5 linked regions of the Mus musculus genome follow. The protein of the gene in region 3 binds, or shares a complex with, the protein of the main gene of each other region. Links are inferred from orthologs where the notes say so. Each region holds a gene or a part of one and is shown on either strand. Other genes may lie near its edges. The genes, in order: Rbm15, Zc3h13, Virma, Mettl3 and Cbll1.

The links.
Region 1: Virma (region 3) and Rbm15 share a complex: the UniProt entries of both Homo sapiens proteins name them as parts of the WMM complex. The link is inferred for Mus musculus from reciprocal best matches to the Homo sapiens genes VIRMA and RBM15.
Region 2: the proteins of Virma (region 3) and Zc3h13 are in contact, whole or in part, in a cryo-EM structure (PDB 7VF2), measured with the Homo sapiens proteins. The link is inferred for Mus musculus from reciprocal best matches to the Homo sapiens genes VIRMA and ZC3H13. Residues at the interface, in NP_056311.2 of Homo sapiens: Leu521, Ser529, Tyr531, Gln532, Leu535, Glu536, Ile538, Leu539, Leu540, Asp541, Val544, Val547, Thr548, Ser551, Leu554, Gln555, His558, Glu561, Val562, Ser564, Glu565, Lys567, Gly570, Asp571, Ala574, Glu575, Thr577, Ser578, Glu621, Glu625; in NP_001317494.1 of Homo sapiens: Pro1492, Leu1493, Asp1494, Val1495, Ile1496, Asp1497, Val1498, Asp1499, Trp1500, Ser1501, Gly1502, His1507, Leu1518, Lys1520, Phe1521, Pro1523, Val1526, Met1527, Arg1529, Val1530, Gly1531, Ile1532, Ser1533, Lys1535, Leu1536, Ala1537, Gly1538, Leu1541, Lys1544, Val1545.
Region 4: Virma (region 3) and Mettl3 share a complex: the UniProt entries of both Homo sapiens proteins name them as parts of the WMM complex. The link is inferred for Mus musculus from reciprocal best matches to the Homo sapiens genes VIRMA and METTL3.
Region 5: Virma (region 3) and Cbll1 share a complex: the UniProt entries of both Homo sapiens proteins name them as parts of the WMM complex. The link is inferred for Mus musculus from reciprocal best matches to the Homo sapiens genes VIRMA and CBLL1.

Annotation. Positions count from the first base shown.
Region 1 is NC_000069.6:107,329,368-107,335,781, forward strand, and holds the start of Rbm15 (RNA-binding protein 15), read right to left. Parts: upstream 3,923-6,414; 5' UTR 3,714-3,922; coding exon 848-3,713; intron 1-847. UniProt on the Homo sapiens protein: RNA-binding protein that acts as a key regulator of N6-methyladenosine (m6A) methylation of RNAs, thereby regulating different processes, such as hematopoietic cell homeostasis, alternative splicing of mRNAs and X chromosome inactivation mediated by Xist RNA.
Region 2 is NC_000080.6:75,290,109-75,295,737, reverse strand, and holds part of Zc3h13 (zinc finger CCCH domain-containing protein 13), read right to left. Parts: intron 4,170-5,629; 5' UTR 4,161-4,169; coding exon 4,044-4,160; intron 3,561-4,043; coding exon 3,451-3,560; intron 1,848-3,450; coding exon 1,736-1,847; intron 1-1,735. UniProt on the Homo sapiens protein: Associated component of the WMM complex, a complex that mediates N6-methyladenosine (m6A) methylation of RNAs, a modification that plays a role in the efficiency of mRNA splicing and RNA processing.
Region 3 is NC_000070.6:11,522,858-11,528,486, forward strand, and holds part of Virma (protein virilizer homolog), read left to right. Parts: coding exon 1-78; intron 79-3,489; coding exon 3,490-3,583; intron 3,584-3,737; coding exon 3,738-4,282; intron 4,283-4,790; coding exon 4,791-5,026; intron 5,027-5,629. UniProt on the Homo sapiens protein: Associated component of the WMM complex, a complex that mediates N6-methyladenosine (m6A) methylation of RNAs, a modification that plays a role in the efficiency of mRNA splicing and RNA processing.
Region 4 is NC_000080.6:52,301,392-52,307,820, reverse strand, and holds the start of Mettl3 (N6-adenosine-methyltransferase subunit METTL3), read left to right. Parts: upstream 1-2,696; 5' UTR 2,697-2,833; coding exon 2,834-2,933; exon of another isoform or gene 2,934-2,938; intron 2,939-6,429. UniProt on the Homo sapiens protein: The METTL3-METTL14 heterodimer forms a N6-methyltransferase complex that methylates adenosine residues at the N(6) position of some RNAs and regulates various processes such as the circadian clock, differentiation of embryonic and hematopoietic stem cells, cortical neurogenesis, response to DNA damage, differentiation of T-cells and primary miRNA processing.
Region 5 is NC_000078.6:31,491,631-31,497,259, reverse strand, and holds part of Cbll1 (E3 ubiquitin-protein ligase Hakai), read left to right. Parts: intron 1-2,510; coding exon 2,511-2,678; intron 2,679-5,080; coding exon 5,081-5,181; intron 5,182-5,629. UniProt on the Homo sapiens protein: E3 ubiquitin-protein ligase that mediates ubiquitination of several tyrosine-phosphorylated Src substrates, including CDH1, CTTN and DOK1. Targets CDH1 for endocytosis and degradation.

The sequences.
Region 1 (6,414 bases), on a different chromosome or scaffold from region 3:
GATTAATGTCTACTAGGGGAAATAAAAGGGTTACTTATAAGCCTGCAGGCAACTCTTACTGAAACCAGAAATTTCTTAAGTGGATACAGAAACCTTCATTTTTGGTTTTGAAGTATGCACAATAAAACTGTATTAGCTACACCTCTCAAGTCAGTAAGAACACTATCGTGCACCTAACTTACCAACAAATTCTCATTTTAAAAGCATTTACTCATTTCTTGCATACCAGTTTAAGATGTAAATGGTTTATAACACAAGCCTCAACTTTTACCCGTTACTGCTACAAACATGGGATACAAAACTCAAAAACTAATATGTTAAAGCAAACTTTCTGGGAATAAACTGTATATTTAAAGAAATACTCAAACACCTGATTAAAGTAATTGGACTTTGCAACACCTGATCAAATTTTTGTCACACAATGCTTCTAGTTTAAATTTTCTATGCACCAATCAAATCATTTTCAGTACAGAGTAAATATTATCAGAAGGTACTTTTCTCCAAATTATAATTTTAAAAATTGGGGGTTTTATCATTTTGAGGATTTAAAAAAAAAGAAACCCTCAAAATTGAAAAAGGAAAAAAAAAACCTAAAGAAAAATTATGAGGGTAAGAACTCCTAATTAAAGCAACCTATCTTCCCGCTACCTCAGGGCATCCCTTTCACTTAGTAACTAACTGCCCTAATATCTATTTTAAGGTTTACAAAAATATATATATATAAAAAAAAAATCAACTAAACTAATTGAAAGAAATTTTCATCTGATGCTATATCCCATTACACATCACAAAACAAGGAACCATGTCAAGTAGTAAATACAAGTTACACATGGACTTTAGGACGCACCACGGACAATGATCATGACCAGGTAATCTTCTTCAGATTTGGCCAGTGCCTTGGCAGGGGAATCCAGGAACTGCTGAGAGAACTCACAAGGTGGGAAGGCATGAAGAACCCCGGTGTTTTCCTTGTCTTTATTGCCTCCCACAGGGAGGCTGATCACCCCAGCTGCCTGCTTTTGCTTTAAATAGGACACAAGGTTCCTAAGTGGCCTCTGAGTAGAGGCGGCAGTGTCTGATGTGGCTGAGGAAGAGGAAGATCGGCTGTCAGAACTTCCAGGTACAGCCAGGAGAATGGCATAACCATTAGGCCCTGCCACTTTGATGCGTCGAGTTACTTCATCCAACTTGGGTTGGTCCAAACGGAGCCGCTGAGTGATCTTGAGTTGGGCCACTTTGCCTCCAGTTGAGCCCTCCACAAGTAGACTGCTAGCAACTTGGAGGTCACCCTGCAACAGATGCATGTTGGAAGGGAAGTTGCTGTTCTTCAGTAGAAGCATGCCCTGCCAAGCCAAACAGAGTTTGGGAGAGGATGCTGCCACAGGAGCTGTCCCTCCATCCTGTTTCTGGGAAGGTGGCTTCTGCTTTGATGAAGAAGTGCTGGCACTGGGTGCATTGCCATCAGATCGGTCTTCCTTTTTCAGAGGGTTTTTTCCCTCTGTGGGAGCAGCTGTCCGATGCTTCCTATCCCGTTCAGCTGATGCAGAGTTTTTACGGTCTCGCTTGTCGCTCTGGCTCTTCTCCAAACTGCCCCGTCTATCTCTGACTGGGGAAGACCTTTCCAAGAGGAGAAGACGAGATGATCGATCATTGTCACTGTTGTAGCGATCTCTGTTACTGCTCAGTTCTGGACTTCGGTCAGGAGAAGGAGTGCAGTGACGCTGTTTTCGAGGCCGTTCACTCTCAGGTGATCTATCAAGATGCCGTCCTCCACTTTCCTCAGGCAGCCTTCGCTTCCTTGGCTGGTCCCTGCTGCTGGGCAAGTCCCGATCACCTCTGTCCCTGTCCAGTGACCAGCCATCCCTCCTTCGATCCAAGCTATCTAGTGGCTCATAAGCAGTGACAGCACTAGTTGCAGCCCGAGCACTGCGTTCTCGAACCGGTGGTGGGGGTGGCACCCAGTCAGAATCAGTATAAAGGTCCCTATCACGATCTCTGTATAGTAAGGGTGGTGTCCTGTCCCGAGCACTCCTCAAAGGGTCAGGTGCTCTATGTCCAAAAGTATCCGTCACTAGTTCATAGTGGGTCAAGGGCAGAGGCTGAAGATATTGCTGCTGGTAACGATGTTCTGTGTCTGCAAAGTCTACCCTGAGGCGACGATCTGGGCCACCAAGTGGGAATCCACGCATATGGGTCCAGGCAGCATGAGCTGCATCCAAACTTTCATACTGTATATATGCCCAACTGTCACCTTTACGGTAGTCTATGGTTCGAATGGTGCCAAATCGGTCAAATTCTCGTGCCAGGGCAGCAAGAGGCACCCAGGGTCCCAGACCACCCACCCAAAGTCGGGTAGTGGGTGTGGCTTTACCATAACCAATCTTGATTGGATTCCGAATTATAATTTTGCCAGACATTGCAAGTTTGGCCCTGTGAGACATGTCTAGATTCTCAAATTTGAGAAAGCCATAGGTACTGGTCTGGCCTCGAGAAGGCCTCTTAATGTCCACTTCTGTGATGACTCCAAAACGATCAAAAGCCCTTCTGAGATCATTTTCCGTCACAGTGATATCTAAGTTGCCCAAGAAAAGTGTCCGGTTGGCACGCTGATCGTCCTCAGGTGATATCTCATCCACTTCTCGGAAAGGAGCCGCACCTGCTCCAGCTCCCACCCTCGGCTCCAGGCTGTAGGCCGGGCGCACCCGGTCATAGAACGGATAGTCTCGTTCTCTTTCCAGCTCTCGGGGCAATGGTGGCGGGGGTGGAGGAGGCAGGCGGCCCAGGGCCAACTGCTGCAACCGGTAGTCTCTGTATCCCAGAGCAGCACCTCCAGGGGAAAGCGACCTCTGACCTCCCCCTCCTCCAGGGGCGTGCCGGTGGCTACCGACTGAGGTCCCGACCACGCTGGATGACGGGGCGTAAGCATCTTTGTCTAACGGGGAGCGGCTGCGGCGCCGGCTCACGTACACGGCTTCTATCTTCAGAGGCCGGTCATAGAGCACCAGGCGGCCTCTGGCATGCTTGGCCGCCCTCGCGTCCTCTGGCCTCCGGAAGTTCACAAAGGCTACCCGCTCATCCCCGCTGCCAGAACCTGAGAGGTGACTGATTTTGACACTTACATCACCGAAGCGTTTGAACTCGTGAAACAGCCCGTCCTCCACCGCCTCGTCGCTCAGCTGGGACCCCAGCTCGCTGATCTTCAGGGTCTTGTACTCCACGCCGTCCCCGCCGCCGGGCGCGGAGGAGGCGGCCCCGGAGGAACGTGACTCCCCGCCTCCACCCCGGGAGCTGCTGCGCGACTCGCCCCCGCCTGAGGAATTTTTGGTGCTCGGGGAGCTGTAACTGTGCAAGCGGCTACTGGAGCTGCCCCCGCCGGTCTCGTACTCGCGGCTGCCGCCCCGGCTGCTGGACTTGTCCAGATGAAGGCTCCGCCGCGACCCGCCGCTGTCCGTCTTCCCGCTGCTGCTCCCATTGCTGCCGCCGGAGCCCCCTAACTTCTTGCTCCGCTCCCCACGAGAACTGGAGTCCTCACCGCCACGGGAGCGCTTGGGCTTGACCGGCGAGCGCTCCTTTCCTTTCATTGTTGAGGGTCGCCGGAGGTCGTCTCTGCGGAGCTGACTAACCCGCCACCCCGCGCTCGTTTCACACAGCGGACTCGCACGCCGCCATCTTGGACTCCGCCGCGGCAAAGGCTCCCGCCCCGCAGACCTCATTGGTCAATTAATTCACTCTTCAGCCTTCTCATTGGAAAAACTATTTGTCCGTCTTTACATCTCCCCGCGCTCCGGGAAGGCGCCCGCCCCGACGCTGTTATTGGGTTCCCAACGCCCTAATCCCAGTACCTCATTGGTTATATTCGTTGTCTATCTTAACGGTTCCTCGCGCCAGGCTGTAGCTCCGCCCCTCGCACTTCATGGTCACCTGACCCAAAGCCTAGAAGCGTTGATTGGACAAAAACTCTGCCCTGTAACGGTACTTCTAGCACGGCGAACGCAGCGATCCCACCTTCTCTTCCCTTTCATTGGTTTGTGGCCACGTCTTTTAAATCACTATCGGGAAGTCTGGACATCAGTTCAGGCGTTTTTTCCTGAGAATTTGGCTCTCTCCGATCTCGCGAGAGACAAAGAGCTCGCTCGCTCACTCGCTCACTCGCTCGCTCTCTTTCGACCCCAGTCTTCCAACTTCTCCGGCGGCTGAAGAAAGTTTAAATCTGATTGGATGTTGACGAGGAACATGATTGGATAAAAGCGCTGTCCATCACTCACTTAAAGGAGTAGGCCCATAAACTGAGGCGTCTGAAGGTGAAAGACTAAGACCACGCGCTTGCTGTGCGACGTCACTTTGCTGTCGCGAGATGGTGACAGTGAGTCAGGCCCGCCTCCCCGCGCTTTCGGCGTTCTCTTAAACATTTGTTAGGTCCTTACGGCGTACTTGCCTGTGCTTCGGTCCTTCGAGTCTGGAACTTGCGGGCTCCTCACTGTCCTGTCTGGGCGGGACAATGGGCTCGGTGGTCCTTCCGGCTGCTGGCCCTCACTCGATCCGCCTAGGCAGCTGTCCCGGACAGTCCAGCCGACACCATCTTAGTTAGCTGCCTGAAAAAGCCCCACCCCCGTGCGCGAGAAAACGCCTGCCCCGGTCTGTGCGGCCCGCTGGGGCGGTGAGTTCAGGGTTCACAGAGCCTCGGGTCACGCTGACGCCCTGGGCGGTACCGAGTCACTGCCCGCCCGCGGACACAGGGAACAGCGCCGCGGAGCCCTGGCCAGTCTCAGTGGCCGCCTTAGGGCCCGCAGTGTCCTGCAAGCCCACTTACTGGTCCGACCTGCAGGACCACTTGCAGATTTTTGCTTCCTGCTTTATGTTGTGAATCCCTGTAAGGTTTGCATTTATAAAAGATGTGTGAGACATAATATAGCTGTGCTTTGCTTTAATGTGTCACACTTCTCACTGTGCGGACACTACATTTATCTCGTTTCTAGGACTCCAGCACTCCGATTAATCCATAGTAGGACCCAGTAACATGGCCACCTTGCTCCCTCCTATATCCACTTCCTTTGACTCCTTTAACCGTGATTCCCGTCTAAACGCCTCCCGTCTCCCACCTCTGCGACCCCATGCACCTGAATCTCTTAAGCTTATGTAATACTGGTGATCATGAGATTAGATGCGTAGTCTATCCCACTAGCGTTTACCTCCTGGTGAGAGGAAATAGGCTTTTTGCAGTCTTCCCAAAAATGTACCTAGGAGAGATGAGAAAGATTTTGGTATTTACATCTTCTAAGACTGAGTAGAGAATGTGTTTTAAAACAGGACATTTTACAAGGTGATAAGAATGCCCTTCCCCAAAACTTGAATTCTAAATTTATAAGCTACTTGAAGATTAGATACAGCAACCTGATTAGCCCTATTTCAACCGTTTTGTTTTGTTGGTATATAACCCTGAAATTGGTGAACAGTTGGGCCAAACTCTCTTGGTCACAGCAAAAAGATTTGAAAGAAGCTCAATATGTAAGTTATAAACCGCAAAATACTATAAAGCATAGACATATTTGTATATTAAAAGTAGCTGTTATGTGGCTTTTGGAACACCTGTATCCCAGCTGCTCTTGCGGATAGGATCACAATTGCTTTCTTCATTAGCTAGAGTAACTTGGTAACTTGGTGAGATTCTGTCTTAAAACCACCCCTACACAAAAGTCTGGAGACATAGCTCAGGACCCTTGGACACCTATGTGAAGCTCTAGGTTCAATTCCTAGTACTGGGAAAAAAAATTCTTTTAAAGATTTATTTAGCAGTGCATGATGGTGTACCCCTTTAATCCTACCACTTGAAAGTCAGAAGCAGGCAGATCTCTGTAAATTCAAGACCAGAGTTGTCTATATAGTGAATACTAGGCCAGCCAAGACTGTATAACGAGACTTTGTCATAAAAATATTTATGTGAATGTCTGTATGTATGGTAGTGTTCTAATATCCAGAGAAGCCAGAGAGGGTGATAGAGCCCCTGAAGCTGGAGTTACAGGGTTGTGAGTCACCAATCTGGGCCCCTGGGAAACAAACTGTAGTCCTCTGTAAGAGCAGCAAGTACTCTTCAACGCCTGAGCCATCTCTCCAGGCCTGCAAAAATAATGTTTAAAAGATGTTTAAATAATGTTAACATAAAATGCCATCAGTCAGAGAAAAAATGTGTATAATAAACTACCAGTTGTGGTTTTAAAAATCGTGGATTACATATATATGCTTACACTTTTATTGAAATTGTTACAGAGATTGCTCTTAGGGGCAGGGATTAGCAAGAGAAATTTTCCTTGTAGGATTTTAGTTTAAAAATGTACAATAGTAGGGTATTTCCTGAAGACCACCTCATGTCCTGAACACAGAGTCTCAGCAATTATAAGATCATGTCCGTCTTATTTT
Region 2 (5,629 bases), on a different chromosome or scaffold from region 3:
AGCCTCGTAGAGGAGAGACAGAGGCCAAAAGACTGCCTGAGTCCAGCAGCCTGGTGTCAGGACAGATCAAGAGACATAGTTAGACACTGCCCTTAACTTGGAAAAAAATGTTAAAAAAATGTAACAACAATGCACAAAATGGTAGAAAATGTCTTTTAGGTACCTAAAAAATGAAAGCAAACAGAAATTATATGCTAATCCTGATAACTCTTTTTAAGTTTTAAGTTATTTAGAATAAAAATAGTTTAAAAAACACAAAATTTTAAAACAGAAATCTATTTTTTTTGCTGTTTTTAACTTACAAAGAAATTACTTGTATTTGTATTAAACATTAGTAAAGCAAAATTCTTTATACTAGAAGTGAGTCTGATGGTGTATAAATACATAATTATCTCACATTACTACTAACTAAAAAAAAAAAAAAAGAATAGAACACTTGAAACCTTCAAAAATATATTTTACCTGTACTCAAAATTATAAAGAAGTCTTACAGCTCAATTTTAAAAGCTGGGCAGAACTTCTCCAACCATGTATCAAGAGCCAGTGAGTATGTGCATGATGCTTGACATCCTTGGCTATTAAAGCAAAACTGCAATTTGGAGCTGGGAAAAACTGGAGGAGCTGGAACCTTCATATAAAAGCAATGCAATCTCTAAATGGCCGTCTAGCACAGTGGCTCTTAGCCTGGGAGTCACAGCCCCTTTGAGGGTCGAGCCACCCTTTCATAGGGGTCACATAACAGATATCCTGCATATCAGATATTTATATTACAATCCAACAATAGCAAAATTATAGTTATAAGTAGCAACAAAATAATTTTATGGTTGGGGTCATCACAACATGTACTAAAGGACAAAGCATTAGGAATCCTGAACCGAATACCAAGAAGAAAGGGAGCTGAGCCCAGCCTGATGTTCCTGGCCTGCCTGCCTGCTGGCTGTGAGTGCAAGCGACCAAGTGTGCCCCTTCCCCACCCCCCACTACCCCAGCCCCGCCATGATGCACATGGCACCCTCAAACTCTAGGCCAAAATAAGCCTCCTCCTGACAGGCATTTTGTCACAGCAACAGAAAAGAAACCAACAGACCATGTATTCAGCGATTCTGTTCCCTGGGATAAAACCAAGAAAAATAAACTCGTGCTAACAAAAGACTTGTACATGAATCTTCTCACTCACATTATGGGGGAAAAGAGGGAAGAGCCCAAATATCCATCAATGATAAGTGAAAAAGAGAATATAGAATGCTAATGGAATATTCTTAGAAAAAAAAAGACAAAGGAACAATCTTCCATAAATATTAAAAACTAAGGAAGATACTCAAGAGAGGTAACACCTTATAAGATCTATTTAAAGAAGCACAAAGAGTAGACACTTTATAAAAAAGAAGTGATTTCATGACTGCCTAGGGCTCATGGTCAGTGGGGCAACAGGAGTGATTGACAGAAGAGATGGGATTTCTTTACAGAGGGATAAAAACTGACCACGAGGATAACTTCACAACTGTAGCCTGCATTTAGATACTCGTGAGTTCCCGGATCATACAAAACCTTTTAAGTTCAGCTAAGCTCTGCTGGTCATTTTAAGTACATAGAAAATTATTTATTCACACAGGATATTGTCATGTGTAATTATAGATTTATAGCATATTAAGTCACGCTACTTAATATTTAAAATGGAGTTCATGAAATAAATGACTACTGAAACTTAAGTGGGTCTTACAAATTTTATGCCTACCCTAACAGGTGAGGATGGCTCCTCTGTATTCCGTTTCTGGGATTCAGAATCCACATCCTGACGCTTATTCTTCATTCTTTCTCTGAGGTCACCTGTGGGTCTTTCTGGTGACCTGTGATACAAAACAAAACAACAAAAATCTGTATTTCTATGATGTTTTATAAGAATAATATAAATAACTTCATAAAGACTAATATAATTTTTCTGTCTTTGGTGCCTAAACTTCTGAAAAATAATGTTTCAGCTTATTAAACAGTAATATTTTAAAATATGAGAAATATTTACAAGTTTCTCCTAATGCCATTCAAGATGCATGTTAACTTCCATTGTGTGTTAAGTACTGGTAATATAAAAAAGAAGCAATGTATGTACTAAAGAAAATGAGTGTGTAAATAGCAGCTTGAGTTACCTCCTGTTCACCACCTAAATTTAGCAGACATATTGTAGATGAAGGAGAGTAAAAGAAAGGTTAAGTTATAAAGTAGCAAAATTATTTCAGAGATAATAGCATTCCCATCCACAGATATGTATGTAGTTGCATACACTACTAACTAAAAATTACTTTATGCACCTTAAAAATGATAGCCATAGATGGCTCAGTGGGTAAAAGTGACGGCCATTCATGCCTAAAGAAGAAAACAGACTCCCAAAAGCTGTCCTCTGACCTTCACATTCAAATGTGGAGTGCCCACATGAGTGAACACATACACACACTTACTTAAAAATCTCCCGTCACTAATTTTCACATTCAGTTTTCCAGCTACTGATGTAGACAAAGCAATCAGCATACACAATTTCAGGACTAGGTAAACTCTTTGTTTACCAATTAAATTATTTCTGTAAAAAATACTATGCATGTTAACTTTAAAAATTATTGCCAAGTCATTAAAAGGAGACACAGGGAATCCTAACAACATCTTCACTGTGCAAGTTAAGTTTAGCCAAGTTTCTCTCAAAGGCAAATAGAGTTCTGCAGAGGAAATATTTATCCACATAGAAACACACTTAATTTTTTTAAATTATTTGTTTGTTTGCTTTATGTGTATGGGTATTTTTTTTTGCATGACTGTGCATCATGTACATGACTGGTGCCTAAAGCCAGAAAATGACACTGGGTCCCCCAGGACTGCACTTACAGATGACTGTTAGCTACCCTGTAGGTGCTGGAAACTAAACCCAGGTCTACTAGAAAAGCAGTCAGGGATCTTAACCACTGACTATCACTCCTGCCCCTAAGTGCATTTATATTAACACAGTGCCCCAAGAGGGTTGGCAAGTAGATTTTATAACAAAGCTTGTATAAGATATGAATTTAAAATGCCTGTAGAAAATTACAATTAAACCTTATTTAAATTTTACTCGTTTACGAAAAGTAAACTCTCTCAAACGTCTGAGTTGTGCCTAAGCAGAAATTTAATACACACCTGGGGCTGTGTCAGGTAGGGGCTCTTTAAGGGCTGTTCTTTCCCAGACTCAGTCTCTCCACAGGTGTTCATTGATTTGAATATACACATTGAAAAATGGATCTACTACCAAAACATGTAAACATGTACACTTTAAAGCTAAAGTTTTATTAATCTTAACAGTAACAACCAAAATAAGACTATCCAAAAAAAGAAAATCTGACCAAATATATGGTTTTATTTCATATTTTTACACTAAACTACAAAAGTTGGTTTTTAATACTATAGAAAATATCTGAGTTCTCAGTTTACCTTCTGTAATTGCTGCTGTAGCCTTTCCCACGAGGTGAAGGGCCATGTATGAACCTACATGTGTTTCCATAGAGGCAGCTGCCAGTCTTCAGCCAGTTACGACACTGTGTCTATGAGGCAAATATTACTATGTAAATGTCTGGAGAAAAGATGGTACCAGGGCAAAATCAAGTCAGAGAGACCCAAATGCCAGCTAAGCATATGCCACTCCAATAATAATAACACCATAAGGGAATGAAAAACCACAGGAAGGTGTGTGTGTGTTTAGGTAGAGAGTAGTTCCTGGAATGGGGTATTAATATGCTCGAAATACATCGTATACATTGAACATACAAAAATATTATATAATGAGAACTTTACAAACCTTAACCCTTCCTTGTATTTCCTTTTATAAAATAAAATTTGCTAAGCCAAACCCATGACAAAACACAATTTCTTTTATAATAGCAATCAGTACTTCAATAATAGTATTTTAAATGTTTCCCCCAGTACACAGGATCGAGGCTAGGGCCTCTTTATACATGATAGGTAAGGGCTCTGCCACTACACCACACTCCAATAGGTGCTCTGAACCCACAGTAGCAACAACTCACCTCTGTTGTGCTTCCAGTGCTGGGGCCAAGCCTCTCAAATACGCTAGGTCTTCGGGATGTACTCTCAGATATGGTCTTGGTGTTTTCCACTGTGACCTTTCTCCTAATTTTTGACATTTTGAACTACTTTAACCAAAAAAGAGAGAGTTAAAACTGTACAATCTTTCAATTTTACACACCTGAGCCTAAAACTTCAAACAGACAAAACTATAAGTAAAGCCTAAAAATGGAGATTTTTTTTTTTTCTCTTGAGGCAGGGGGTGGACAGAAAGATACTGAAAGAAGACACCAATAAACAAAGATGGTGCTTGCCTTCTAAGTGCCCAACAACTCTGGAAACGGTTGGTTGACCTGTATATCCTCTGTACTGGACATTCAACTTCAAATGTTACTTAAACATTTAAAAAGTGTTGTAAAATTTAGTAGGCCTGTCCTTTAGGGGAACAACTGATTAACTACTGATTAACTGTTAAGTTGCTACAGAAGTACTGTTTTAAATGAGTATGGAACTGTCTGGGTCCATGTGCTGCTACATGTTAGTAATCTCTGTCCTCAGGAAGCTGAGGCAGGAGAATCTCTAGTTCACAGCCTAGTTATGTCTGGAAGAAAACCAAAAGTAAAACAAACAAACAAACAGTATAGAAGAAAAGTGGACATTACTTAAAAATTCTTTGCTACAGGGGTCACAGAAAATCTGATTAAAAATATTAATTTTTCGGTAATATTGAAACCAAAACTGCCCAAGGTTTCTAACACATGCTGATGAAAGTCAAAGCTGCTAAAGGTAATGAAAAAAATCAAGTGGCAACAGTAGATAAAAGCTAAACAAAGCATTAAAAAACTAGAAACTATAATCAGAAAACTAACTCAATTATTTAATTGAAAGTGAAAATTCAGGAGACAGCACATGTTAGAAAACAAATTCTAGACCAAGAAATAATTGGTACTGATTTACTTAAGGAAAAAACTCTGTGAGTAAAAGCAAAGGAGCTAACTACACAACACTTTACATCACCTAACTGTCACGTGATTAGAAAGAGCCCTAGAAGCTTAAAAAAAAAAAAAAGGTAAGTTCTATTTGATACACAACTAATCCTGTGTGCCTGTGTGTGCTTGAGTCAAGATCTCACGTAGCCCACTTTGACCTCAAGTTCAACATACAGCAAAGGATGACCTTGAGCTTCCTGTCCTTCTGCCTCCACTGATTTCTGCAATCCCAGGCACCCACGCCTGACTCTGTATGCAGCACTAGGCATTGAACACAGGGCTTCCCGACGCTCTCCACTACATACACTCCCCAGCAGCAGAACCTGTCTTTATCAAGATCACAGACGATCTCTAATGATTTCAAAATAAATACGTATTACTGGACAAGAAATCACATCAGTAGCAGCTGAGTGTGTGGTGGGGCAGGCCTGTAAACCTAGCACTCAGAAAGAAGACTAAGGCAAGAGGACTGTAAATTCAGGCCAGCCTGGATTACGTAGTGAGTTCAAGGTCAGCCTGGGATTAATAGTATAACGCTGTTTTGAAAATAACAACAACAAAAAGAAAACAGATAAAATATCCTGAAATATAAAAATAAA
Region 3 (5,629 bases):
GGCAAATGGCTTGAACCTCTGAAAAACCTCAGATTTGAAATTAACTGCATCCCAAATCTAATTGAATATGTTAAACAGGTAAGTAAAAGTTAGAAGGGCTGTGATTGTTGTGAAACTGATGACACATGGAGACAATACTGAAGTTACCCTCTTGATAGTGGAGAAACCCCGACCTTGATTGATCTGTGTGACTATAGTATTTGATGCATGGATGAAGGTAGTCATGTACATGAACACACATGCATGCAATACTCTGTTTAAATAACCTGCTACTCTATGTTTGGATGTCAGAGTACAGCTTGTGGGGTTGGCTCTCTCTTCTGCCATGTGGAGTCCAGGGATGGCACTCAAGTCTTCAAGCATTTTGGAAAGTACTTTTGGAAAGCTATCTCCTAGGTTCTACAAACACCTTTGAAGTTAAATGCTACTAGTATTCTAATTTTAATTAATGAAATAGTGTAGCTCAGAATATTTAGGTGAAAATGGATGTAGCCAATTCCAGATAAGTCTAGTGTGGACCAGTGTTCTTTGTTGTTAATTTTGGATAGTGACAACTGTAGTTGAAATTAAAAGTTGAAATCTGTAAAATCTATAATTTGTAAAAGTAATATTTAAAAATTCATATGTATTTCATAATGAAAAAATTATTCATCATTAATCTTGCAGGTTGCTCTTTCTCCCCTTTTTTTCTTACTTGACCCAGTGGGGCTGAAGGCACATAATGAACACGTTAAACTACATCAGTGTAGACTGAGTTCTCTGCTACTGCTATGTTTAGCAGATGACCACTGTGTTTTTTTCATATTTAAGAGAGGAAGTCACCTTGGTTTTGCAGCTGTAATATATTATTAAAGTAATTTATATATTTTGACCAATTCTTTGCTCTTTTGAAGTCAAAAGGAAGTATTGTTTAGTACTATCTGCTTTAGATCTTTTTGTCTTAGTGATTCCCTTGTCTTTTCATTCTGTGTCTCTTAAGAATATTTTTGTTTGTTTGCTTGCTTGCTTGCTCTTCTTTTTTCTTTTATAGAAAGGTCTCACTGCCCTTGCTGGCCTGTAACTCACTATGTAGACCAGGCTAGTGTGGAACTCATTATGTAGACCAGGCTAGTCTAGAACTCGCCAAGATTGGTCTGCCTCTGCCTCGTGAATGTTGAGATTAAAGGCAGCCTGTGCTGCATGAGATCCTGTCTCAAAACAGAAAGAGGGTAAAGAGAAGAAAAGACCTTGAATTATTGTCTATTAACTAAACATTTTAAACTGATGATGATGGTGAATGCTTGTAATCTCAGCACTGGGTGCCTGAGTCGAAGGATTGCAAGTGAGAAGCAAGCAGAGACAGCATCAGAAAACATTGCCTCAAAACCAGAACCCTGCCAGGGCCAGGGAGGAAGCTCTGTTGGCAGAGTGCTTGCCCAGAATGCACAAAGCCCTGACTTTCTTTCCTGCAGCATACGAGCCGGGGTACGGTGGTCTGTAGGAATCACTGGTACAGGGTTATATTGTCAGCTGGATGGTGAGTTTGAGGCCAGTCTGGGCTACATGGGATCCTATCTCAAAAAACCAAACAACAAAATGAAATTCTGATTTCCTCATAAACCTTGTGTTTATTTCTATTTTGATTTTTGGTTTGAGGTAGGATTCAGTTGGAAAACTTAGGCTGGTCTTTATTTACCTCCTGAGTGCTAAGACCAGTCATGTACTACCATGTCCTTTCAAGTCATTACCCCATAAATTTTATTCTATAAGTAATTCCTATCCTAAGATACACTAAATACAGTTGAACCAATATTGAAAGTTGATGATTTCTTCTTGTCTCAGTGATTTGTAAAACTGTAAGAAAAAAGTTAAGGCAAAAGGATAATGCAGAGCAGAAGCCCGTGAGGGAGAGCAGGCTTGGTCGGTTTGTTTGCTTGCTTTTAAAGCTTATATCCTGAGACTTAGAAGTTGGAATATTTTAAATCATCAAAAAATTTCAAGTTATAAATTTATTAATAATGTTAGTCTGTGAAAGCTACAAAATGTAAACAAAACTATTTGGTATTTGGAAACATAATCAGATTTTTTGTTTTTCGAGACAGGGTTTCTCTGCATAGCCCTGGCTGTCCTGGAACTCACTCTGTAGACCAGGCTGGCCTCAAACTCAGAAATCCACCTGCTTCTGCCTCCCGAGTGCTGGGACTAAAGGCATAATCAGATTTTAAATACAAAAACAGTTTCATTTCTTGTACTCTGTCTTTTTGGTGTCTGCATTTTAAAAAATAAATGCTATTTAGTCTATAAATGTTTGAAGGTTTCATCTAACCCTTGAAAGAAGTTTAGTAACCATGGGGCTTTTTAAATATAGTCTGGCACAGTGGTGCAAATCTGTAATTCTAGCTCTTTATGAGGCAGAGGAGGCCAAATTAAAGTTAGAGGCTAATCTGGGGATCTTAGTGAGACCTCTGCTCAAAACAAAAACAAAACAAAGACCCCAGAACCCAAGAGCTCACTTGTCAGTTTAACCATTGCTTCATTTTTGAGAGAAATAATATAAAATGGGTCTATAGAAAAGAGTTATTTTAAATTCTTAATACAAAGAATCATAGGCTTTTATTTACTGCTTTGTTTTAGTACTTGAAATACACAAATATGCTATGTTTGGTTTTTGTTTTTGTTTTTGTTTTTGTTTTTGTTTTTTGTTTTTTGTTTTTTAGACAGGGTTTCTCTGTGCAGCCCTGGCTGTCCTGGAACTCACTTTGTAGACCAGGCTGGCCTTGAACTCAGAAACCTGCTTGCCTCTGCCTCCCAAGTGCTGGGATTAAAAGATGTGCGCTGCCACTGCCTGGCTACGTTTGATTTTTAACATATTATTGTACAGTACAAAACATGCCTGTGATGTTGCTGGAGAGATGGGTTAGCATTAAAAACACTGGTTGCTCTTCTAGAGGATTCAGGTTCCATTCCCTGTCCCTACATGGCAGCTCACTGTAACTCTAGTTCCAGAGGGGGTGCGACATTCTTATGCACACATACATGCAGACAAAACACCAGTGCATATAAGGTAAAAATTAATAAATCTTTTAAAAAAATTAAAAAAGAATTTTACAAGAAAAAGTGAAATTAAACCTAAGGTGAACTAATTTACGAAAGTTTCTTTAGTAGTGTGGTTTTTCTTAGATGTTGTCTCTTTTGTTTGGGTGTTCTTTGAGACTGGACATGGTATAGGTCTAACCCTGGCTGCCTTGGAATTCATTGTGTAACCCAAGGCTGGCCTTAAACTCACCACTGTGCTTCTTGCTTCAGCCTCCTGAGTGCTGGCATTGCAGGTGTACAGCACCACACCCAGCTTTGTCATGCTTGAAACATGCTAAAGAGTGAAGAGTGTGCAGCCCAAGCCTTTGTGCTGAGGATTAAACCTAGAGCCTTGTGCATGCGCGTGCACACTCTACCTCTGGAAGCTCAGAGTCTTCACTAACTTCTTGTTTGCTTTTATTTTATTTTTTAAAGAATATTGATAACTTGATGACTGCAGAAGGAGTTGGCCTTACCACTGCCTTACGTGTTCTCTGTAATGTGGCATGTCCACCACCTCCCGTAGAAGGTAATATAATTAATATACTTTGAAAACTTCCATACTTAAGCCTGGTTAAATATCATTAAATATTCAAAATATTCTTATATTCAAAATATTCTTGATTGATTGATAGCATGTAAGTAATTCGTTTTTTCTTATTCCTTCCTTACCCTATATAAAGGTCAGCAGAAAGACCTGAAATGGAACCTTGCTGTTATTCAGCTTTTTTCTGCTGAAGGAATGGACACCTTTATTCGGGTTCTGCAAAAACTGAACAGTATTTTGACGCAGCCTTGGAGGCTCCATGTGAACATGGGGACTACCCTGCACAGAGTCACTACCATTTCAATGGCTCGCTGCACGCTCACTCTGCTTAAAACTATGCTGACAGAGCTCCTGCGAGGCGGATCCTTTGAGTTTAAGGACATGCGTGTTCCTTCAGCACTTGTTACTTTACACATGCTCCTGTGCTCTATCCCTCTCTCAGGTCGTTTGGATAGTGATGAGCAGAAAATTCAGAATGATATCATAGATATCTTACTGACTTTTACACAAGGAGTCAATGAGAAGCTCACGATCTCGGAAGAGACTCTGGCCAATAATACTTGGTCTTTAATGTTAAAGGAAGTTCTCTCTTCCATCTTGAAGGTTCCGGAAGGCTTCTTCTCAGGACTCATACTCCTTTCAGAGCTGCTGCCTCTTCCCTTGCCCATGCAGACCACGCAGGTACCACTTCATATCACATGCATCTTGTCATGACTGCAGTAGCTCCTTAGTAATGCCAGGGATGCTGGTCAAACCCAAGCAAGCCTTCGTCCTCCTCCCCAAAGACAGAGTAACTGAGCTGAGGGTGAGATGAAACTGAAGCGAGTTGGAAGTGTGGGGTAATGTTTGAAATGCCTTTTGTGAAGCGAGTTTTATCATGTTGTTATGTATACTTGTACTTATGTTTTCCTGTTACTGCAAATCTTTTTTCTCCCCTTATCATGTTTTTAGAATTTGCAAATTAGATCGCTTCATCAATGGACTCTGCTCAACTGACTGCCAACCTGAGAACAATACTTTTTTTTAGACCTGTTGGATTCAAACAATTGTTTAATTGTAATAGTGTAATAGTGAATTATGTTTTAAGCATGCAGTAAAGGTGTTCTTTTTATGACAGTTCTTCCTGAACAGTTTTGCGACTATAATAAAAAAAAAATCTATGTACACACACATTATACTTTTTTAACAGGTTATTGAGCCACATGATATATCAGTGGCACTCAACACCCGAAAATTGTGGAGCATGCACCTTCATGTTCAAGCAAAGTTGCTCCAAGAAATAGTTCGTTCTTTCTCTGGCACAACCTGCCAGCCCATTCAACATATGTTACGGCGTATTTGTGTTCAATTGTGTGACCTTGCCTCTCCAACTGCTCTTCTGATCATGAGAACTGTGTTGGATTTGATTGTAGAAGACTTGCAAAGGTATTTTCATTCCACCTTAAGAAGTTTTCCTCAAGTTACTCTTGACACAGATAACCTCTTTTACATAGTTTGGAAACTAGGGTTTAGTAAGCCTAGATAACATGTGGATGTATAAATACACACACACACACACACACACACACGCACACACATACTATAATATATGAAAATTATTTTTTTAGAATGCTTTATCTTCTCATTTCATGTGTAAGTCATGTTGAAGGTCTTGATTGGGGTTTTTACTTAAATTTCATTATAGCATAATGCTTGCTTGTGTGCATGTACATGCTCATACATGTATGGTCAGGACTTTATATAGTTGCTTTTTTCTTTCCTTCTGTATGTGGATTCTGGGGTTGAACTCAGGTCATTAGGGTTGTTCTATATGAGTACCTTTATTTCCTGAGTCACCTTCCTGCCCCAGTTTTGCAGTTTTTAAAAGGTGAAGTATAAAGAACTACTCTGACTTGAAGTATATTATTGAAATCCTGAAATTATAAAATTTTGCAGTGACTATAAGCTTCTGGAAAAAAATCATTATATCAAAGGAATGAGGTGTATGTTTTATACAAAATTTGTGTGAATATATAGAAAATATGAAAT
Region 4 (6,429 bases), on a different chromosome or scaffold from region 3:
CTTTCTTCCTTTCTTCTTTCTTTCCCTTTTTCTTCCTTCCTTCTTTGCTTTGTCTTGTTTGTTTTTCTTCAAGACAGGGTTTCTCTGTGTAGCCCTGGCTGTCCTGGAACTCACTCTGTAGACCAGGCTGGCCTCGAACTCAGAAATCCACCTGCCTCTGCCTCGCAAGTGCTGGCATCAAAGGCGTGCACCACCACTGCCCAGCTTCTTTGTCATTTTTAATCCTTTAAATACTTACCTCTTTTTAAGTGTTCTGTCCATTATAGCAGCTGAACACACGTGAAGACCCAGGATCCAAGAGAGCAAATATGGGCTGCAAATCTTGGTTCTGGAACTCAGGAAATACCACTCTTGCCACATTCTGTTAGTTTACTAAATCTAGGCAGAAGCCAGTTCACACTCAAAAGGGGAAATAAAATTAATAGGAAGTGTTTGGTTTCTAGGTCCCAGAATAAGGGACTGGGGTGTATATTTTACATATCAAAGCAGACCTGGCCCCCAGGTTCTCCCAGCATCCCTCCTCCCTACCTGGCATACCCTGCCCACAACCTTGAATTTGCCATTCCAGGGGCCAGGCTGCCCTTCCTGCCCTTCCCCCAGAGGTTCCTCCCTCTATAATCCAGACATTTTGCCCGCGCGGGCTCTCTCTCTCTCTCTCTCTCTCTCTCTCTCTCCCTCCCCCCCCCTCGACCCTGCTCTCTTCTTCCCCTCCCCATCTCTCCTCCTCCTTTTCTCCCCTTGTTCGAGAACTTGTTATCTTTTTCTCTTCCCCCATCCCCATCCATGGCCACCCCCCTGGCCCCAATCCTTGGGGACAGTGAACTCACTCAAGAGCAGATTCCCAGTAAACCTGCCTTTAATATGATCCTGTCTGGCTCTAATTGGCTCATTTATCAGGAATAACAGCAAGTATATACATCCCACATAAGATCATAAATTATGGGAGACATTGGTCCAACTGTGGACCCAACCCCCATAGCACAGGAGGCAAAGCTGAAGTGAGGAGTGCAACGTCGTCTCACAATCGCGTAAACCCTGACTCTGCTTTGCTGCCCTGGAGATCTCTGGCATACTATGGCATACTATGCACATATTTGCCACTTAGCTATCACCCACCACCCCCGTTTTTATTTATTTATTTGAGTACACACTGTAGCTGTCTTCAGACACACCAGAGGAAGTCATTGGATCCCATTACAAATGGTTGTGAACCACTATGTGGTTGCTGGGAATTGAACTCAGGACCTCTGGAAGAGCAGACAGTGCTCTTCATTGCTGAGTCATCTCTCCAGCCCCTTAACTTTTCATTATTTAGGGACTATTTTATTAGTTTTTGTAATCAAACTACTGTACATAAGACCATTCAGTGCAATAATAGAAATAATTTTACTTTAGTTTTTGTTTCTGGATAGGTTTGATAGCCAGCCCAGGAGATCTACTGTTCTCTGCCTTTCCAACACTGAGATAACAACTGCCTAGTCATGGGCTGGAGATAAGGCTCAGTGGTAAAGAGCACAATTTATTATTACAGAATTGAACTCAGGTTCAAACCCTAGCACCCACATTGTACATCACAATTGCCTGTAACTCTAGTTCACGAAGATGACTCCGTCTTCTGGTCTCCAGGGGAGCCAGGTATGTGTGTGTGTGTGTGTGTGTGTGTGTGTACAAACACACATATACAAATATTCAAACACAAAAATAAACCTTTTTCTAAATTAAGCTAAAACAATGTCTGCCACCCCACACAGCTTTGCCTTAAATTTATGTGGGTTCTGGGAATCTCAGAATCTCATGCTTTCACAGCAAACACTTTACTGAGCTACCTCCCCATTTCTTGCACATTTTCTTTTAAAAAAAAAAAAAAGAACAAATTTATTATATGTATATGAGTACACTGTAGCCGTCTTCAGGCACACCAGAAAAGGGCAACGGATCCCAATTACAGATGGATATGAGTAACCATGTGGTTGCTGGGAATTGAACTCAGGACCTCTGGGAGAGCACTGAGTGCTCTTACCTGCCGAGACATCTCTCCACTCATCCTGAACATTTTTAAAGAGTGCTCCCTCACGCTGAAAAAGATGGTTCCCTAATTAAGATGTTTGTCTTAGAATATGCCTGAATTCCCAGAACTCGGATATTGAGGCAGGAGGATTGTGAGTTGCAGAACCACATAGTGAAACTCCACTCTCCTTTCACACACTTTGTATAGAAAGAAAGAAAGAAAGAAAGAAAGAAAGAAAGAAAGAAAGAAAGAAAGAAAGAAAGAAAGAAAGAAAGAAGGAGGGAGGGAGGGAGGGAGGGAGGGAGGGAGGGAGGGAGGGAGGGAGGGAGGGAGGGAGGGAGGAAGGAAGGAAGGAAGGAAGATAATATTTAACTTAGAAAATCTGGGGCCTTAAGGGCAGAAATCTATGATACAGTGCTTGACCGTATGTGCAAGGACCAGAATATACAATCAACCAGACTAACAGTCTGTTCACTCCTTCCCGTCCATCCATCTCTCCACGCATACACCCACCCGTCAAACACTCACACTTGTTCTAGCCCTGCTATTTTAAATGCGTTGTCACTAACGACTTAAAGAAACAACATGGCGGGTCTGCCAGCTACCAACATGGCAAACACAGCCTCAGCGCTCCCGGAAACACGAGAGAGAACTACCGTGAGGATTACGTCCGGCTGGTTCGCCAACCGGAAGTGGCTTTTCATCTTGGCTCTATCCGGCTGGCCTTCGGGCGTCCTCGTGAGAATTAGATGTTTCTTAGTTCTAGGCTGGGGAGGTGCTAGTCCGCCGCGCCTGATTCGAGCCGAGTCCGCGCTGGGAGCTAGGATGTCGGACACGTGGAGCTCTATCCAGGCCCATAAGAAACAGCTGGACTCGCTTCGCGAGAGATTGCAGCGGCGACGGAAGCAGGACTCTGGGCACTTGGGTGAGGTGCGGGGTGGTCGGGGCGGGCCTGGGCGGGGCGAGAGACTCCTGGAGAGGAAGACAGCCCCGGGCTCTGCGCCCTTTCCGGAGCAGCCCTTTATTGGACTCCTCGATTGTTGGTTACCCCATCTTTCCCGAGTAGCTGAAACGCATGCCCACCTGCGGGAAAGCTTGCAGTGCCTCCTCCCGGGCGTCGGTTTTTCAAGCGTAACACCACACCAACATGGGTCCACTCCTCTCCTTGGGTCCCATTCCAGTCCTGTCTAGGAGAATGTTGCGTCCGTGAAGCCTCTCAGTACCTTATTCCGAGAGCCAGCAAAACCCGTTTTGTTGCTTCTGTGCCTGTTTTACCTTAGTTGTAACGTTTGCTTTGTCACTGTCTTTTCTTTCCCATGTGGGCGGGGAGCAAGGATTGCTTCTGTATATCTATCCCCAGAGCCCGGTTTAGCAGCCACAACAGGGTCCTCACTAGGACCTTCTCACTAGGACCTTAATGAATGAGTAGTGCAAGTGTTTACAAACGTAGCAAGAATCTGAAAACACTTGATTTTGGTCTTTAAACATTTTCCCCCTCCCCCTTGTATGACAAAGTTAGAAAAATTGAAGGCACTTAAAAGAGTACTACCCTAATAGCCTTCTCCAGCACAAGCTCAATTATTTAAGGTAAACCAGTTGCAAAGCTCTGCGAGAATACCGAATCCATACTACATGTGTGGGTAGCATGTCAGTGCTTTGCAGTATTCACAGCTCACAACAGCAGACCTTGGTGAAATTCAGTCTCACCGTAATTTGTGAACATTTATTGCATATCTACACTACTCATGGGTTTCGGCAAAAAGAAGACACTGCTGTTACCTTAAAGGAGCTTAAAAATCTATGTGAGAATCAAAGAAGATTAGAAGAAAAAGCAGGGAGAAAAACCCTTCATGGTGGCTCATGCCTGTAATCCCAGCACTTTTTTTTTTAAAAGATTTATTTATTTATTATATGTAAGTACACTGTAGCTGTCCTCAGACACTCCAGAAGAGGGAGTCAGATCTTGTTACAGATGGTTGTGAGCCACCATGTGGTTGCTGGGATTTGAACTTCAGACCTTCGGAAGAGCAGTCGGGTGCTCTTACCCACTGAGCCATCTCACCAGCCCATCCCAGCACTTTTTTAAACAAGAGGGATATCTGTGAGTTTGAGGCCAGCCTGGTATACACAGTGAGTTCCAGGACAGCCAGAACTACCTAGAGAGACCCTGCCTCAAAACAAAACAACAAAGCCAAAAAAAAAAAAAGAAAAGAAAAAGAAAGAAAGTGTCACAGCTACAGTATTATATATGTAAGATGCTAAATGAATGGGTCCACAGTCGCTACAATGACTAAGAAATGGGGCAAGCTTAATGGGGACTTCCTACTGGAGTTGCCAGTTAAATTTGGCCTTGATTTTTAAACTGCATTAGCCAATACAAGATTTATCAGATTACATAATTTAAAAAAGATAATAGGGCATTATGGAACACAAAGTGCAAAACATAGGAAAAGGGAATAATTAGAAACCAAGATTTGAGAGTTCGAAGCCAGCATGGTGTACATAGTGAGTTCCAGGATAGCCAGAGCTACACAGTAAGACCCTATCTCAAACACACCAGGAATGAAGAACAGTAACACTTTAATCAAAAAATGTAACAGGCACAGCAGTTAGATTCCTTGTTTTGAGTTGATAGATTCTTTGTTTTGTTTGAAATAAACCTAATAGCAAAAAGTTTGTTTAAACATATTTGGCATTAGGTATCATTGCATATTTCTATAAAATACCAGTTTTAACTATATTTGTAGCTTGAAAAGCAGTCTATGTTTCCACATAGAATTTCGGCTAGATTACATCAAAAAGGATGTTTCTTTGGCTTTAATTAGAAGTTTGAAATCATGGAAAACACTCAAGAATTTAAGACTTATTTACTAACATTTGTTTTGGTCATGGACAGCTTTCCCAAAGTATGCTCATTAAATTGGGCTAGACAAAAAAAAAAAAAAAACCCTACAAAGTCAATGTATAATAAGAATTGCCATGTTGGGTGGTGGTGGCGCACATACAAATCTTAGTTTGCACTTAGGAGGCAGAGTCAAAGGCTAGCCTGGTCTACAGAGCAAATTTCAGGATGGCTGGGGCTATACAGAGAAACCTTGTCTTGAAAAACAAAACAACAACAATAAAAAAGAATTGCCTGGAGTTTTGATTAACAAAATAAACATTTGTAGGAATAGGATTGTATTACACAGTGCTTGGCACACATGTTTGTTTGTTTTTTATGTAAGTGTTTTGCCTTCACGGAATTATGTGCCCCACATGTGTGCCCAATACCCTTCAAAGCCAGAAGAAATCTTTGGATCCCATGAAACTGGATTACAAATAGTTGTCAGCCACCATATATGTTCTGGGGACCAAACCCCAGGTTTGAACAGCAAGCATTTTAACCATTGAGCCATCTTTTCAGCCTTGGCCACATAATTGAGTATAAATGGGGAAATGGTTAATATATGACTTAAAACCATTTCAAAATCTACCTAACAAGCTAGGCATGGCATTACATGCCTATAACCCCATCAGGAGGTTAGAAATTTTTAGGTTAGCGTGGGCTAAGTAGATCCTATCTCAGACAAACAAGGCCAGGCATGATAGTTCATACCTGTAATCTCAGTACTTAGGAGGCTAAGGCAGCAGAGTTTGAGGCTGTACTGGGTTACATAGTAGGTTCCAGACCAGCCTGGACTAAATAGTAAGACCCTGTGAAAAAAATCAGGCATCTCCATGACAAAGTAGTGATATAATTTGACTTACAACTTACCAATAATAGGATAGTTGTGGTGGTATATGCCTTCAGTTCCAGCACTTGGGAGACAAAGCGAGGCAGACTTTTGGACTACATAGTGAGTTCCAGGACAGCCAGAGCTACAAAAAACAAACAAAAAAAAACCCCACCTATACTTTTATAGTCCCTATCAAAAAAATCCTTTTTTTTTTTTTTTTTTTTTAAGGGGAGGGGAAAATGTCTCACCATGTAACTCTGGCTGGTCTGGAACTTACTATATACACCAAGCTGGCCTCAAACTCAGAGCTAACTGCCTGCCTCCGCTTGCCTGGGACTAAAAGGCAATGTGCTTCTATGCCCGGCTGCCTTTTTAAATGTATTATTTTGAGAAAGGTTTGCTAAACTGTCTAGACTTAGACATGAATTACTCTGTAGCCCAAAGCTTCTGTGATCCTTCCTGCCTTAGCCTCCCAAGCTTACAGGCCTGGCTTCCACAACTTATACATTAGCCCCCTTGGCATACTTTGAATCAAGAAAACACTTTAACACTTACGTTTGTTAATAGAATCTGAATTCCTTTTTGAAAAGAGCTCGTGTTTCCTTGTTACAGTGGCTTTTATCATCGTGCATATTTGCTCATTGAAAGTAAATTTTTGGTACTTCAAATTTATAACTTCAATAAGAAAGTTCAGGATTTGCT
Region 5 (5,629 bases), on a different chromosome or scaffold from region 3:
ACAAATTTGAATCATAGAGCCTTTGGCAAACCAAGAAATGGTAGTTAGCTAGTTAATTGACAATTTTCTGACTGAGTAGACTTCTCAAAATAATGATTTTTAATGTCAAAGGATCAAGAGGTCTTGTAAATGGGAGTATTGAAGTAGAATTCTGCCAGAAAAAAAAAATTTAGAATTTTTTTAAATGGCAAACACGTATTGCTTTCTTTAGTGTTTCTCTAGATTGCAGCAGTGTCAGCGGTGAGCTCAGGGCCCTCGGGGGTGGAGAGAAGCAGCAGAAAGGTGATGGCACCCTTGCAGCTCCTTTCAGGCCAGCTCTGTCCCATGCTCTTACCTCACGGGCACCCAGGCCAATAAAGACCCTGCAAACACTTGATTCATTCTTTAGTCATTGTAAGAGATGGTTAGTGCTTAGGTAAAAGGAACCCACATTTTTAAAATACTGCTTCATTCTTTTGGGGGAGATAGATCCTGGGGACCTGAACCCAGGACCTTAGACAGGTTTTACCACTGAGCTACATACCTGGCTTAAGTTCCTTGGCTCCTTTTATTCAAGATAAAATATTAAGTGTGTTGTTTTTAAAACTATATAATAAAATAATATATTTTTAAAGGTATATTTACTTTAAATGGCCCAATTATTCTTTTTATCCCTTATGTAACATCCAGATATTTATTACATGCTTTGTGTTTTGTTTCTGTGTATGGGTGGCCCCACACAAACAAACTTCAGAATTTTGTCCCTTGAAATCTGTGAGGCAAACAGTAGCTTTAGAAAGAGGCTCGTGAAAGAGCCAGGCTACTGTTTAAATAATGGGAAACTGGGTTATGTGAGCTGGTTGGAAGGCTGTGCAGGTAGTGTGTTGTCAATCACAGACTGACACACTAATAACTCTTGTGATATCTGAAGGGCAACATGTTGGCTAGTTCAGTTCTTTGGAAAGGTGGGAAGACTTTTTGTGCAAGGGGAAAAGGTTATCTGAGATCTATGTAGGTACTTATATATAGATGAGCGAATGCAGCAGAGACTGCTGAAATACATGAAAGACACTCCATTTTAGTGCAGTATTGAAGATTGATCAAGTTGGTTTATTATAATTCAAGATTGTAGCTATTCATCTAATCTTTCCATGAAAGATTTTGAGAGGAGTTAGCTGTTATAAGAGTAGAAAGTAAACATGTTTAATCATTAAAACCCATTTTAAATTTCATTTTATTTTGATGATAGAAAGGGCAAGAGGGTATGAGTTTAATTGGTTGGTATTGCCTATAGAAGTGGACATTATTAGTACTAGCAGACTACGTTCACATTTGTGTTTTGCCGGATTTAACGTGGACAGTTTGGCTCTCAGCTTCGATTGTAACTCTTGCAGGAGCTCTGTTCCGTAATTTGTGTTGCAGACACTACAATTTTAAGATTATATTTGCATTTTTTACCCTTACGTGTTTCCCTTTTTATCCTAAGGTAAAGTTTAATACTTTGTGTTACATATTTTTATGTACTTCTATGTGATTCAGTCCTGTGAAATAATGTGCCCCTTATTCATGAACAAGAATTCCTTTTTTTCATTGATGGTAAGATTTTTAAGGACTAGAAAGTGTCTTGTTTTTTAAGACCCAGGTCTAACTAATAGTTTTCCATTGCAGTGTTGACTGTTAACTAAAGATACCTGTTGCCTGTGTCTCTAGAAATGTTATAGTACAAATAATGCATGTGTTCTATTAAATGATATATTTTTGTTTCCGTTGAATAATTTTTTAAAAAAATGTTATGCTTAAGGGAATAATTACCTCTTTAAAGCCAACACATAAGCCAGTAAGGTGGCGTAACGGGTGACACTGCTACCTGCTGAGGCCCTGAAGTCAACATCTGGGGCTCAGGTGGTTGGAGGGGAGAAACGATTCCCACAGATTGTTTTCTGACCTCCACATATTCACTGTGGCTCCACAGCAGTCCCCCCTAAACATAATAAATTAAAACTTCATTTTCAAATATATTTCAGATTTAGGGTTGCATTTTCAATTTGTTATGTAAATTTACTAAGTTTACTGCATGGCTACTTCACCTGTTTGATAATTAGGCACATATGTTAAGACAATTTTTTTTTCTCCTTTATTTTTAAAAATCTTTACAATCTGTAAGAGGTTTTTAGACTTTTAAAGAGGGTTATCTTTTTGTAAACTACTATAGAATTGTATGGTAATTTTTATTGCTCATTTTTTAGAAAGATAAATGTTCTATAATTTTTATCAGCTTCTGAAAGGGTTCCCTGACAAAATAAATAATTAATTAATTAATTAATTAAAGCTTAACCGAAAGCATTTCTTTAAAGGTTTACCCCAAATAAAGACTATTAGCAGTTACACTTACCAGTCTAGTATTTAAAATCAGAGCCAAGATCTTCAGTTTATTGTTTGATGTTGTTGATTTTATCTTTATACTTGTTGTAGAACAATTTTCAAAAAGAAAAGTAAACATAATTACAATTTCTTTTCTTACATTCATATAGACAATGAGTTACAAGGCACTAATAGTTCTGGATCCTTGGGTGGTCTTGATGTTCGCAGAAGAATCCCTATAAAGCTCATCTCCAAACAAGCCAGCAAAGTTAAGCCGGCACCTCGGACTCAAAGGACTGTCAGCAGGATGCCCGCAAAGGCCCCGCAAGGTGATGAAGGTAACTGGTGTAAACTGAAATGAGTGTAAACTGAGTTGTCAGGTTGGAGATGGCTCAGGGATTCAGAGCACTGAATGCTCCTCCAGAGGACCCAGCTTCAGTTCCCAGCACCCATATGGCAGTTCACAACTGTGTGTAACTCCAGCACCCTCACGTAGTCATACATGCAGGCAAAACACCAATGCACATAAATACAAGTAAAATTTTAAAAAGAGTTCTCTTGTTTATCTGAGTGTATCAAGTAATCCATCTGATTTTATTAAACCTATTTTAGAATTAGTTTAGTTCTATCCCTTTTTAAGCGCCCTTCCCCTGGTATTGCACAGAGCATTACATTAAAAGTAAAATTTGTTTTCACGGTCCTCTATAAAACTGATGCTAGTGCCCCTTAAAAAAAAATCTTTCAAGTAAGCTGGGTGGTAGTAGTGAATGCTTTTAATCCCAACACTCCAGAGACAGAGGCAGGTAGATCTCTGAGTTCAAGGCCAGTCTGGTCTACAGGGCAAGTTCCAGGACAGACAGGGCTACACAGAAAAATCTTGTCTAGAAAAACCAAAAATAAAATATAGTTTTACCCAGGTGAGGTGGCACATGGCTGAAATCCCAGCACTTAGGAAGCTGAGACAAGAGGATTAATGTTTGAGGACAGACCCTGTCTCAAACAAATGAGTAGTCCTAGATGTTTAGTCTGTAGATATCCTACAATTTATTTTACTTTCTTGTAGATACTTGTTTTGCCGTAATTGTGTTGTAATGTGAATATTAAAAATTTGACTTGAGAAGATGGCCAAATTCTTGAAATGGGTGAGGGTAATTGCCCTAAGCCTGGTGACCCAAGTTTCATCCTAGAACCATTTAAAAGGAAGGAGAGAACTGACCTCCACCCACCACTCTCCATATGTGCAGACCCCTCCCTCCATATCATGTACACAACAAATGACTGTTTTTAAAGACTTGATTTGTACATTTCAGAATATATCAGATCTTGCTAAATTCTTCAGAAAGGGTGTGGTATAGTTTCTACTCACATACTCAGTATTTTGCACTATTAATTTAACTTTTTTTGAGGCAGAACTTGGATAGCCATTCTGCTCTTGAAGGTCAAAAGTCTTGCTGCCTCGGCCTTGTCAGTGCTGTGGTCACAGGCAGGAGCCTAAGTGTGGTTGGATGCCTTTTCATAGTGCTCGCCAGTTCTTGCCTCAGTTCCAGGCTCTGTTTTGATTGCTGCCTTTCTCTTAATTTTGAATTCTTTATAATATTGGCTTTGTTAAATGTCTGTGTAGTTCATTTATCTTTTGAACTTTGTATATAAAATATTACTGTAAAGAACTTGGACATTCTAGGAAGCCAGTTAAACTAGAGCTTGCTCTCTCCTGTTTTTAATATATTCTTTAAAAGGCCTTTCCTAGTTTCATGAATATAAAAACCGCTTCCTGTCTTGCCATCTGTTAGAAGTCAGCAAGCTGGTCTACAGGCCAAGTTTGGTTCCTTTAAAATAGATAAAGTTGCTGTTCAGTTAAGAGTATTGCCTTGTGGCTATTTTCCTACTAGCGTGGCAGAATTAACTAGATTTATATGACCAAGAAAGCCTAAGTTTTGTACTGTGGCCTTTTATAGTAACAGATTGTTGGCCCATACTTTAGAATATTTATGGGTGTGTTTTGTTTTTTTTTTAAGTGATGTTTTGTTTACCATAAATACTGAGTAATTGGTTTTTTAATTCCAGAATAGAAATCTGGCTGTTAACATACATTCAAGTTCTAGAAGATCTGTCTTACTCCTAAATTCTGTTCCGTAAACAACATGGTGATAATTGGTGAGGTTTTATATTAGAGGTGGTTAGTGGAGTTGCTAAGAGCATTGAATAAGAGACTCGGTTATAGGTCTGTTCTTGGCTCTGGCACGTGGCTTATATGGTGGCTGCTGTACCCACAGTATGTTGTCATTTGTAAAGTACTAGAGATGGACTCAATGATCATGAAGACTACTTCCAGCCGGCATTTTAAACTCTAGTTTAAAAATGATATGCCAGTTAATTTCTGTGACAAATGTGAGTTGTCTATTAAAATCTGTGGGAAAACGGTAAGTAAAATTAAGGCCTGGTGTTGTAGAGGTAGGACTCTAGAATACTTTTACTACGTTTTTTATAACTAGTTTTATATACAAAACTCTAAGGGAAGTTTTATAATAACATGAATTTAATATAGGTTTAGTTTTTTGTTTTTGTTTTTTTATTGTTTTAGAGTAGTTTTAGGAATTTTGATTTTCATGTTTTTAGATCTCTGAAAGTTATCAGAAACATTTTTCAGTAAATATATATACTTTTAATTTTGTTATGTAAATAAATATACTTTAAATTGAAATTTGAAGTTGGAAAATGTAATGTAACTTTTTTCTCTCAGAAGGATTTGATTATAACGAAGAACAGCGATATGACTGTAAAGGAGGCGAACTCTTTGGGAATCAGCGAAGATTTCCAGGACACCTTTTTTGGGATTTCAAGGTATAACTAAAAGTGAAAAATTAGAAATTAGGCATTAAGTACTTATCCACTAAGTGTGGATTTTTAGTATGTCGTGACGTGTAGCACACATAAGTCCACTTGCTTGTTTTTACCATCTTCAAAAATAATTTGAATGCTGGGCGGTGGTGACTCACGTCTTTAATCCCAGCACTTGGGAGGCAGAGGCAGGCGGATTTCTGAGTTCCAGGACAGCCAGGGATACACAGAGAAACCCTGTCTCAGAAAAAAAAAAACCAAACAAACAAACAAAAAAATAAATAAATAAAATAATTTGAAGTAATTTTTGGTAGAACCAAGTAAAATCATTAGCTGCTATTTAAGAAGAAGAACAAGCAAATGGAATTATACTAATCACTTTTTACTTCTGTTTATGGTAACAACTTAAGAAATTCTAACCATTTCACTGTGTGAATTGAAAAGTACAGTT